Rattus norvegicus: one gene and its partner. The protein of the gene in region 1 interacts with the protein of each later gene in a biochemical or structural test. Links are inferred from orthologs where the notes say so. Each region holds a gene or a part of one and is shown in the gene's direction. Other genes may lie near its edges.

What was found.
Region 2: the proteins of Atp7b (region 1) and Atox1 form a complex in vitro, tested with the Homo sapiens proteins (3 studies listed by BioGRID and IntAct). The link is inferred for Rattus norvegicus from reciprocal best matches to the Homo sapiens genes ATP7B and ATOX1.

Annotation. Positions count from the first base shown.
Region 1 is NC_086034.1:76,703,130-76,706,952, forward strand, and holds part of Atp7b (copper-transporting ATPase 2), read left to right. Parts: coding exon 1-172; intron 173-1,757; coding exon 1,758-1,991; intron 1,992-2,571; coding exon 2,572-2,663; intron 2,664-3,475; coding exon 3,476-3,603; intron 3,604-3,709; coding exon 3,710-3,823. UniProt on the Homo sapiens protein: Copper ion transmembrane transporter involved in the export of copper out of the cells. It is involved in copper homeostasis in the liver, where it ensures the efflux of copper from hepatocytes into the bile in response to copper overload.
Region 2 is NC_086028.1:40,077,509-40,082,076, reverse strand, and holds the start of Atox1 (copper transport protein ATOX1), read left to right. Parts: upstream 1-1,515; 5' UTR 1,516-1,613; coding exon 1,614-1,619; intron 1,620-4,568. UniProt on the Homo sapiens protein: Binds and deliver cytosolic copper to the copper ATPase proteins. May be important in cellular antioxidant defense.

The DNA of each region.
Region 1 (3,823 bases):
GAAGAAATCTTTCCTGTGCAGCCTGGTGTTTGGCATCCCCGTCATGGGCTTGATGATCTACATGCTAATCCCCAGCAGTAAGCCCCACGAGACCATGGTCCTGGACCACAACATCATTCCAGGACTGTCCGTTCTAAACCTCATTTTCTTCATCTTGTGTACCTTCGTCCAAGTATGTATTGGGAGGCCGGCTAAACCTGTCTGCCCTTGATGCCCAGGCATGGCTAATGGATCTCTGTTCTTTGGCTGTGTCAGCAGCCCTTTAGCCTGGCTCCAGTCATGGCAACTTTGCAGCATCACCTCTAGGGAGCTGCTGCTGCTGTTATTTCTGTCTTATGACCAGAGGGGAGGGCAGGGTAGAGGGGGGCTGCCAATGTGGGAACTAATAAGAAAGGCCGGGTTTCACAGTCACAGGTCATTGCGAGTGATTAAAACTTGTCAGAACAGCCACCCTCTCCTTGTCAGCTCGGTGAGCCTATCTGTCCCGTGTGTGTGTGTGTGTGTGTGTGTGTGTGTGTGTGTGTGTGTGTGTGTGTGTGTGTGAGTGTGTGTCTTACAAATGACAGGACTCAGGACCTCATACATGCCATACATGCTAGGCAAGTGTGCCATTGCTCAGTAATGCCTCGAGTCCTCGCTTCCTGATTGGTTTATTATTATTTTAGTTTTCCCTGTTGTCCCTGGAGCTCATGCTTCTGCTGACTGTTGTATCCTTAAAGGCAAAGCCATGGTCTCCGTCTCTGGATGAAGTTCTCTAAAGCAAGGAGGCTGTGTAGAACCTCTGTGCATGGATGGAGATACATGCGTGAGAATGTCTGCGTGTGCACTTTCTGACATGTGAAACTAGGACATTTAGGGGGTAACCGTTTGTAGGCTGGATTATTTTCCCTATATTTCCTTTTTAACTGAAAATGGGCTTTGTCCTTATTGTGAGCAATTTCACCAATACTGAAGCAAAGGGAAATGAACTCCAAATGATTACACTGACTGCCTCTGGCCCAGTCCTGTTCCTAGTACTGCTGCCACATCTTCAGGAGTTTCTCTCTCTCTCTCTCTCTCTCTCTCTCTCTCTCTCTCTCTCTCTCTCTCTCCCCCTCCCTCCCTCCCTCTCTCTCTTTCTCTCTCCCCCGCCCCATATCCCACCTTTGTACAGCAAACCTTTCTGTCTCTATCTCTGTCTCTCTATCTGTCTCTCTTTCTGTCTCTATCTCTGTCTCTCTATCTGTCTCTCTTTCTGTCACTATCTCTGTCTCTCTTTCTGTCACTATCTCTGTCTCTATGTATATATGTGTACATGTGTTTGCATGTGTGTGTATGCTTGTGTGTGAATGCGTGTTTGTCCTATACAGACACAGATGTCTGTTAATGGAGGTGGGGGCCACGTGAGAACACTAATGGATGCTGCCCCTCTTATTTGAGTTGCGGCCATATTTCGCATCACTGGCTTACCTTTAGAGACCATTCACGATGTAAGTGAATAGCATCATCGTCGTTACCATTCTCTTATTACAGACATTTCCATGGTATGTCTGCCTTCCAAACACCCCGTACCCTTGGTCATCCATTTCTGGGGGCAGTAGTACTCTGAATGGGGAAGTGTGTTTCATTGGAGGCTGAGGCAACGTGTGTGCCCATCACTATCAAATAATCATACAGAATAGAGTGGCATCAGCTACATACAAGAACCTAGAATACTCATTGTTCTGAGCCTGGATCTCCCCCCTCCTCAGCCAGCCCTCGCCCTCCCTGTCTTTCAGTTCCTGGGTGGGTGGTACTTCTATGTCCAAGCCTACAAATCGCTGAGACACAAGTCAGCCAACATGGATGTGCTCATCGTACTCGCCACGACCATTGCCTATGCCTACTCCCTGGTCATCCTGGTGGTTGCCATAGCTGAAAAGGCGGAGAAGAGCCCAGTGACCTTCTTTGACACACCCCCCATGCTCTTCGTCTTCATCGCCCTGGGACGGTGGCTGGAGCACGTGGCAAAGGTAGCTACAGCTTCCAGTTAAGGAAAGATCGGTACTTTCAGTAATCTGAGTCTTAGCCCAAGGGCAATGTGTGCTGAGAACTACTAATCACACACACTATAGCGAATGGCCAAGAGGAATCTGAACCCCCGTGTAATTAGGGGCCTGAAGTCACTAATCTCCCAGCTGGTTGCTCTTTCTGAAATCCCGGCTAATCTGGCTAATTAGTAAAACCTTTGTCCGGGTAATTGCGTGGTGGAACAAACTCTGAACTTAGCACCTAATGGATTGCAGTTAGTTAGTGTAGAAATCCACACTTCGGAGCGGGTGATGTTTTGCACTCTGCTGTGGAGCCTGTAGTGAGGGGGAAGGACATTATATTGAAGGTGAAAGGAAATGGCCCTGGGCAGACTGGGGTTGTGTTCATCCACAGTGGAATTCAAGCTCTGTGTCGTCAGCAGCGCTGGGCTGGCTCTGGTGCTGGCATGCACGGCTGCCTTAGTGGCACGGTTGTGGTTTTTACACCAGCCACCTTCAGCGCTATCCTCGTGAGTGTCAGCCTGGGTTTGGACCGACAGCTCTCATCCTGGTTATTTCCTAGAGCAAAACTTCAGAAGCCCTCGCAAAACTCATGTCACTCCAAGCCACAGAAGCCACAGTTGTGACCCTGGGAGAGGACAACTTAATCCTCAGGTACGTTGTGTCGATCGGTAGAGCTTGGGATCCTTTTGTATCACCTGTGTAGTGACAAGTGTCACCCTGAAGCCTGCATCAGCTGCTAAATGCAGTTGGACCAGTGATCTTTCTAAAGGTCTACATTGTAGTGTCTGTCTGTACTGCTGTGTAGTGGGATCCTTCAGCAGCTGCCTGCTTTCTTACGATAAAGTCTGTAGCCCTTGCATAGCAGTGGGACTCTGATATGAACTGTGCATGCCCCTCTTGAGTTTAGCCCCAGCCCTTGCTCACAGTGAGGCAAGTATAATCGTCCCCCAACACCCATGGCATTTGGCTCTAGGACCCTTGGATACCAAGTGCCTCATATGAAATGAAATGATATTTGCATAGAATTCACATCCTCCCACATACTTTAAACCATCATTAAAATAATTGTGATACATTTGCAATGCAAACGGAATGCAAATGGGTTTATCCTGTATTGTTTAGAGAATTTAGAGAGCAGTGATGCAAAAATATGTGTGTTGTGGATATAGACCGGTGACCCCTGCACCCCTGCCCTGTGTGTGTGTGTGTGTGTGTGTGTGTGTGTGTGTGTGTGTGTGTGTTGCTGGGGATGGGACCCAGGGCCTCCTACATGCTAAGCAAGTGCTGTACCACCAAGTTATATCCCCAACCCATCCCTGAATATTTTTGATGCAAGATTGGTTGTGTCTGCTAATCTAGAGCTCTTAGGTGCATAGGGCTTGCTAAAAAAGGTCCAATAGTCAGTCTAGAACCCACTCTAATTATAGACGAGGAGGATGTTATCCGAGTGTCTTCTGTTGCAGAGAGGAGCAAGTGCCCATGGAGCTGGTGCAGCGAGGTGACATCATCAAGGTTGTCCCTGGGGGCAAGTTCCCAGTGGACGGGAAAGTCCTGGAAGGCAACACCATGGCAGATGAGTCCCTCATCACAGGTTAGGTGGCTTGTTTTATGCTCTCTTTGGAGGGGGTCATGGTGGTCTTTGGTTCATGTGATGTTGAGTGGGCTGAGTGAATGATTGACGTCTGTCTCTCTCCTAGGAGAGGCCATGCCTGTCACCAAGAAACCCGGGAGCATAGTGATTGCTGGCTCTATAAATGCTCATGGCTCTGTGCTCATTAAAGCTACCCATGTGGGCAATGACACTACTTTGG
Region 2 (4,568 bases), on another chromosome or scaffold:
ATGCCTAGCTATTATGTTCTTACATTTATTTTAGTTCATTTTATTTAAGACAGGTTTTCCTAAGGTTCAGACTGGCCTCCAATTCATGACTTCCCTGGCCTCAGCCTCCAGAGAATAGGGGGAGGGGTTGTTTATAGACACCTGTGTCGCCATCCCCACCCGTTGCATCCAGCTAGTCTTAGATTCTTAGACTTTTCTGTTAACCAACTTCTTATAAGTTCTATATTCAAATTTTAGTATAGTTTCTGACTGAACCCATCCTGACACACAGAACGACAGATTGCCTTCTTAGTTTAGGGAACTTCTCTTAGCCCTCAGCTCAAGGACACAAATGGCTGGTGGAGGAGATAAATCTAATCTGTTGGTCCTTCTGGCACTGTCGAGGAAGCCCGTCTTCTACATGCGTATCAATTACCCATGAAGTAACTTGGTCGACTGGGCTGCCGTAATTGGGTGAGAAAGACACAGTCTCCCAGGTTTTGTTTTGTTTTGTTTTTTCTTAGGATAAGAGTGGTTAGATCTTTTTTGATAAACTTGACACAAGCCTCGGTCATCTTGGAAAAGGACTGTAACTGAAGAATTGGTTTCATCCAATTGGCCTATAGGCAAGTCTGTGTGGGTATTGCTCCCTCCTGAGTGCTGAAATTAAAGGTCACAGCCACCTTGAACTCTGGATCCTCTGGGTCCTTCTCCCTCAGCTTTGGTTTGGTTTGGTTTGGAGACAAGATTTTTTTTTCTTTTTTTTACATAGCCCTGGATGTCCTGGAATTTGCACTGTAGATCAAGCTAGCTTTGAACTCAGAGATCCGCCTGCCTCTGCCTCCAGAGGGCAGGGATTGAAGGCACCACTTGGCCCTCAACTTTTCAAGACCTGGTTTTAGAGTTGTGTACTGATTTACTCTGTGCCTTACACTTACATTTGGTTTTGTTTTGTTTTGTTTTGTTTTAAATATGTTTTTCAGGAAAGGGTCTCAAGAAGTCCAAAATGGCCTTGAACTTTACAGCTGTGGTTAGCCTTGAACCTAGAAACCTTCTACCTCAGCCGCTCTAGTAACTGGGTCAACAGACCTGCCGCCCTAGGCCAGGCAACTGTAGTTTAGGGACTGAGTAATAAGCAAGAGAGACGGTCCCTTTAGGGAAATACCAGATCCCTCATTCCTAGAGCCTTGGCCTCTCATTCCCTAACCTTGTTTCAGAAATGACCCAGTAGAAGGTACAGGTCTGGTCTCCACAAATTAGCCTCCGACTGGCCCCAAAGAGCCTGGCGGGTCCGAAGAGAGGGGGTACCTAGTGAAATAGTCATGTCAGAAAGGGGCGGTAACCAAGTGGAAGCCAGCCCAAGGGAGGAGCCTGGCTGTAACTGGGACCGAAGGGATCGGAACAGTCTTCCTCAAAGGGCGGGGCCTTGCGGAAGCTAGACCCCGGAAAGGGCGGGGACTAAGTAGAGCCCATCCCTAGGGCGGGGCCCGGCCGAAGACTGGGTTGGCCTGAGGGCGTGGCTTCCAGGAGCGCTCTCCGGAAACGCCGCTTTGGTGTTCGGGAGAGGCGTTCTAGTCCTCGCCGCCGCCTGTGCCGCCGCCTGTGCCGCCTGTGCCGCCTGTGCCGCGTCAGTCATGCCGGTGAGTGGCCGTTCGGCCCGCGGGAACCTCTGTCTCCGGCCTGATGCACGGTTTCCGGGCCAGACGCAGCAGTTAGGGCATAGGCCGTAGCCAGAGCTGCGGTCGTTTCTCACTTTACCTTCCGTACCGGTCCTCCAGCTTCGCGACCCTCGGGAAAGCTGCAGAGAGCAATGTTAATGCAGAACATAGGCCTCCGGATCGCTCTAGAGAGTCTTTAAGAGGCAGCCCCATCCTTTTCTGCATGATGGGAAAACTGAGGCAGGGAGGTGGGGCACAGAACCCACATAGGGATGCCGGTACCTGTCTTTTCCACGTGCATGCCCCTGCAGCCGTGCTGATGGGTTTCCAGAGAAGCAGGTCTGTGTTCACCTCTCCAGCCCACTCTGGCGTACTTCCATCTCAGCACTGGACGACACTAACTCGACAGGGTACTTTCTTCCCAACCAGGAGTTCCCAAAGCTCTGAGCAGAGTTTGAGGAACCGAGAGCAGTGCTTATCTTGCCTTTGAATTCACCCCACTCCTTGCTTAGTTAAATGACGACCTTACATGAGGCCTTAACACATTACACAAGAAGAAAAGAAAAACCCCAGTGCTTGTGGGAAAGCATTTTATTGTTGGAAGCTAGGTAGGATCCAACCTGAAGCCAGACCACCTGGGAAGTGCTGGGCAAAACCAGTTGTACGTGTTTGGGGGCAAGGTCTAATCTCAGTTGAGTTCCCGAATGCTGGCTAGAGCTATGGAGTGGGGAGCCTTTTCCTCCCAGTCTCTCAGCCCAGAGGTCTCCCAGGAGTATTCCATGTTTTAGCAGCTTCACTTCTGAGAATGAACCTGAGGCTTCTTCCTGGTACGAATCCTTAAACCTCTCAGGTGTCTTGTGGTTCTTAAACCTCTCAGGTTCTTGTGGTTCTTGCCCTTTGTCTTCAGATCCTAGCTGCACAAAGCACAAACAAAAAACTTAATAAAGTCCATCCTACCAGGCACGTTTGTCTAGTCTGCCCTGCCAAGTGACAGACTCCTTGATGAACTTAGGATGCCAGAGTGGAAGCTGCCAGGCTCTTGGGGGGGGGGGGGCAGCAGTGAAGAAAGAAAAAAGCTTGAGGACCTCTCCATTCTGTGTCTGCCTCTGGGGATGCAGGATTTAATGGGAGACAAATGGGCACCTCATCAAGCCAACTGCTAAATGCCGGGAAGATGTTGGTCAAGTGCTGCCTCCAATTTAGCCAGGGAAATAAGTCTTACCCAAGACGACTTGTAGACCAAAGCTTAACCCAGAAACCTGAAAGTCTGCCCTTGGTTGCCAACTGGGCAGCCTCTGACAAGTTGTTCTGTCTCTGAGTCTTTATCTCCTCATCTGTAAAATAGGGGCTGAAAACAGATCTTTTAGGACTAAGGTTGGTATTAATTAGAATTAAATCATCAAATGCGTACACAGCCAGTGATCCATCTGTCCTGAAGGAGTAGTGACTCATGTTGATGTAGGTCAAGTGGGGTAGAATTGAGTAGTCAGGCTTCTACCTCATTTTAACCTGGACCTCACTGGTTAAAAGTTCAAGTTTTGTGTCCTCTCTCCAACCTAGGACCTACTACTCATGAGGTGTGTCTCCCTGGTCAGTACTTAATCCCAGAGCTTCAGCTTTCTCCTCTCAGAAAGAAGAATTAGTTTCCTGGCTTGTGGAATTATTGTAGCGATTAAAGGAGACAGTGTAACAAGGTGTTTAGAAGAAGGTCCAGCACATCAGAGATGCGCAGATACTAGTAATCAGGAATCCAGACACCAGTGTTTAAAGACTCAGTATCCTCTAGAGGAACAGTGTCATTCTCCTCTTCTTCCTCCTCCTCCCCCTTCTTTTCCCCCTCCATTCCTACTCTTCCAGGTCTAGAGTCTGTAAAAGAATCATACTACCTACTGGCTTTCTGAACTAATAAATACAATATGTAGTACAACATTAATATACATTATACTTAAGAGGATTCATTTTGTTTGTTATCATTACAGAGCATCACTGTAGCCCAGGCTGGCTATGAATGAATACGTAGCCCAGGATGATTCTTAAACTCAGAGCAATCTTCCTGCCTTAGCTTCTCAAGGGTTGGGATTATAGAAGTGAGCGGCCACACCTAGCTTAAAAGTTTTGTTTTGTGGTGCTAGGTGTTGGGCCCAGGGCCTGTATGTGCTCTGCCACTGACCCTCAAACTCAGACCCTAAAGGATCCTTTTGTAAGGGGTCTAGTGGCACTAGGGAGACACCCAGAAGGTGGAGCAGGTCTAGGGATACTCTTGTGAACACTGGATCACCCTGTCCCTTAGGCCAGCTTTCCGTCATCATGTTTAGTTGCACAATTTGTAGGCAGAGATAGGGAGCTCTGAGTTGGAATTTTGGCCTCCTAGGGCGGATCCCTGGCCTCTGACCTCTGTACTGTGAAAGAAGTCCTTTCTTGCTGTGGTCCTCAGTTTGGAGCTCAGGTAACCATTGACTTTAGCTCCTTGAGCAAAATTATCCTCTGAAATCCCCTTTCAGAGCTTCTTCTGAGAGTAGGTTGTGGGAGCTGGACACCTGGCTGTGCTGAGAGTTGCCTGGAGCAAAGAAAGCCTCTCTTCCCTAGGACCCTTGCACACATGACCTCACCACCATAGTGGCTCCTGAGCATAAGGAAACGAATGCTTTTCTTTTCAAACTAGAAAAATGCTGCAGAAAGGGGACCTGAGGGTTGCAGGATGGGTCAGCTGGTAAAGATCCCTGTTGCCAAGCCCAGTGACCCCTGACATCCACACTTAGGCCATGGGACACACTCCCACATGCAAACAAGTAATTATAATTTACTTAACTACTTACTAGCTTTTAGGTTTAGTGTGTGTGTGTGTGTGTGTGTGTGTGTGTGTGTGTGCGCGCCACTTGTGTGCAGAGACCAGAAGTTCCCTTAGAGTTGGAGTTACAGTGGTTGCAGGAA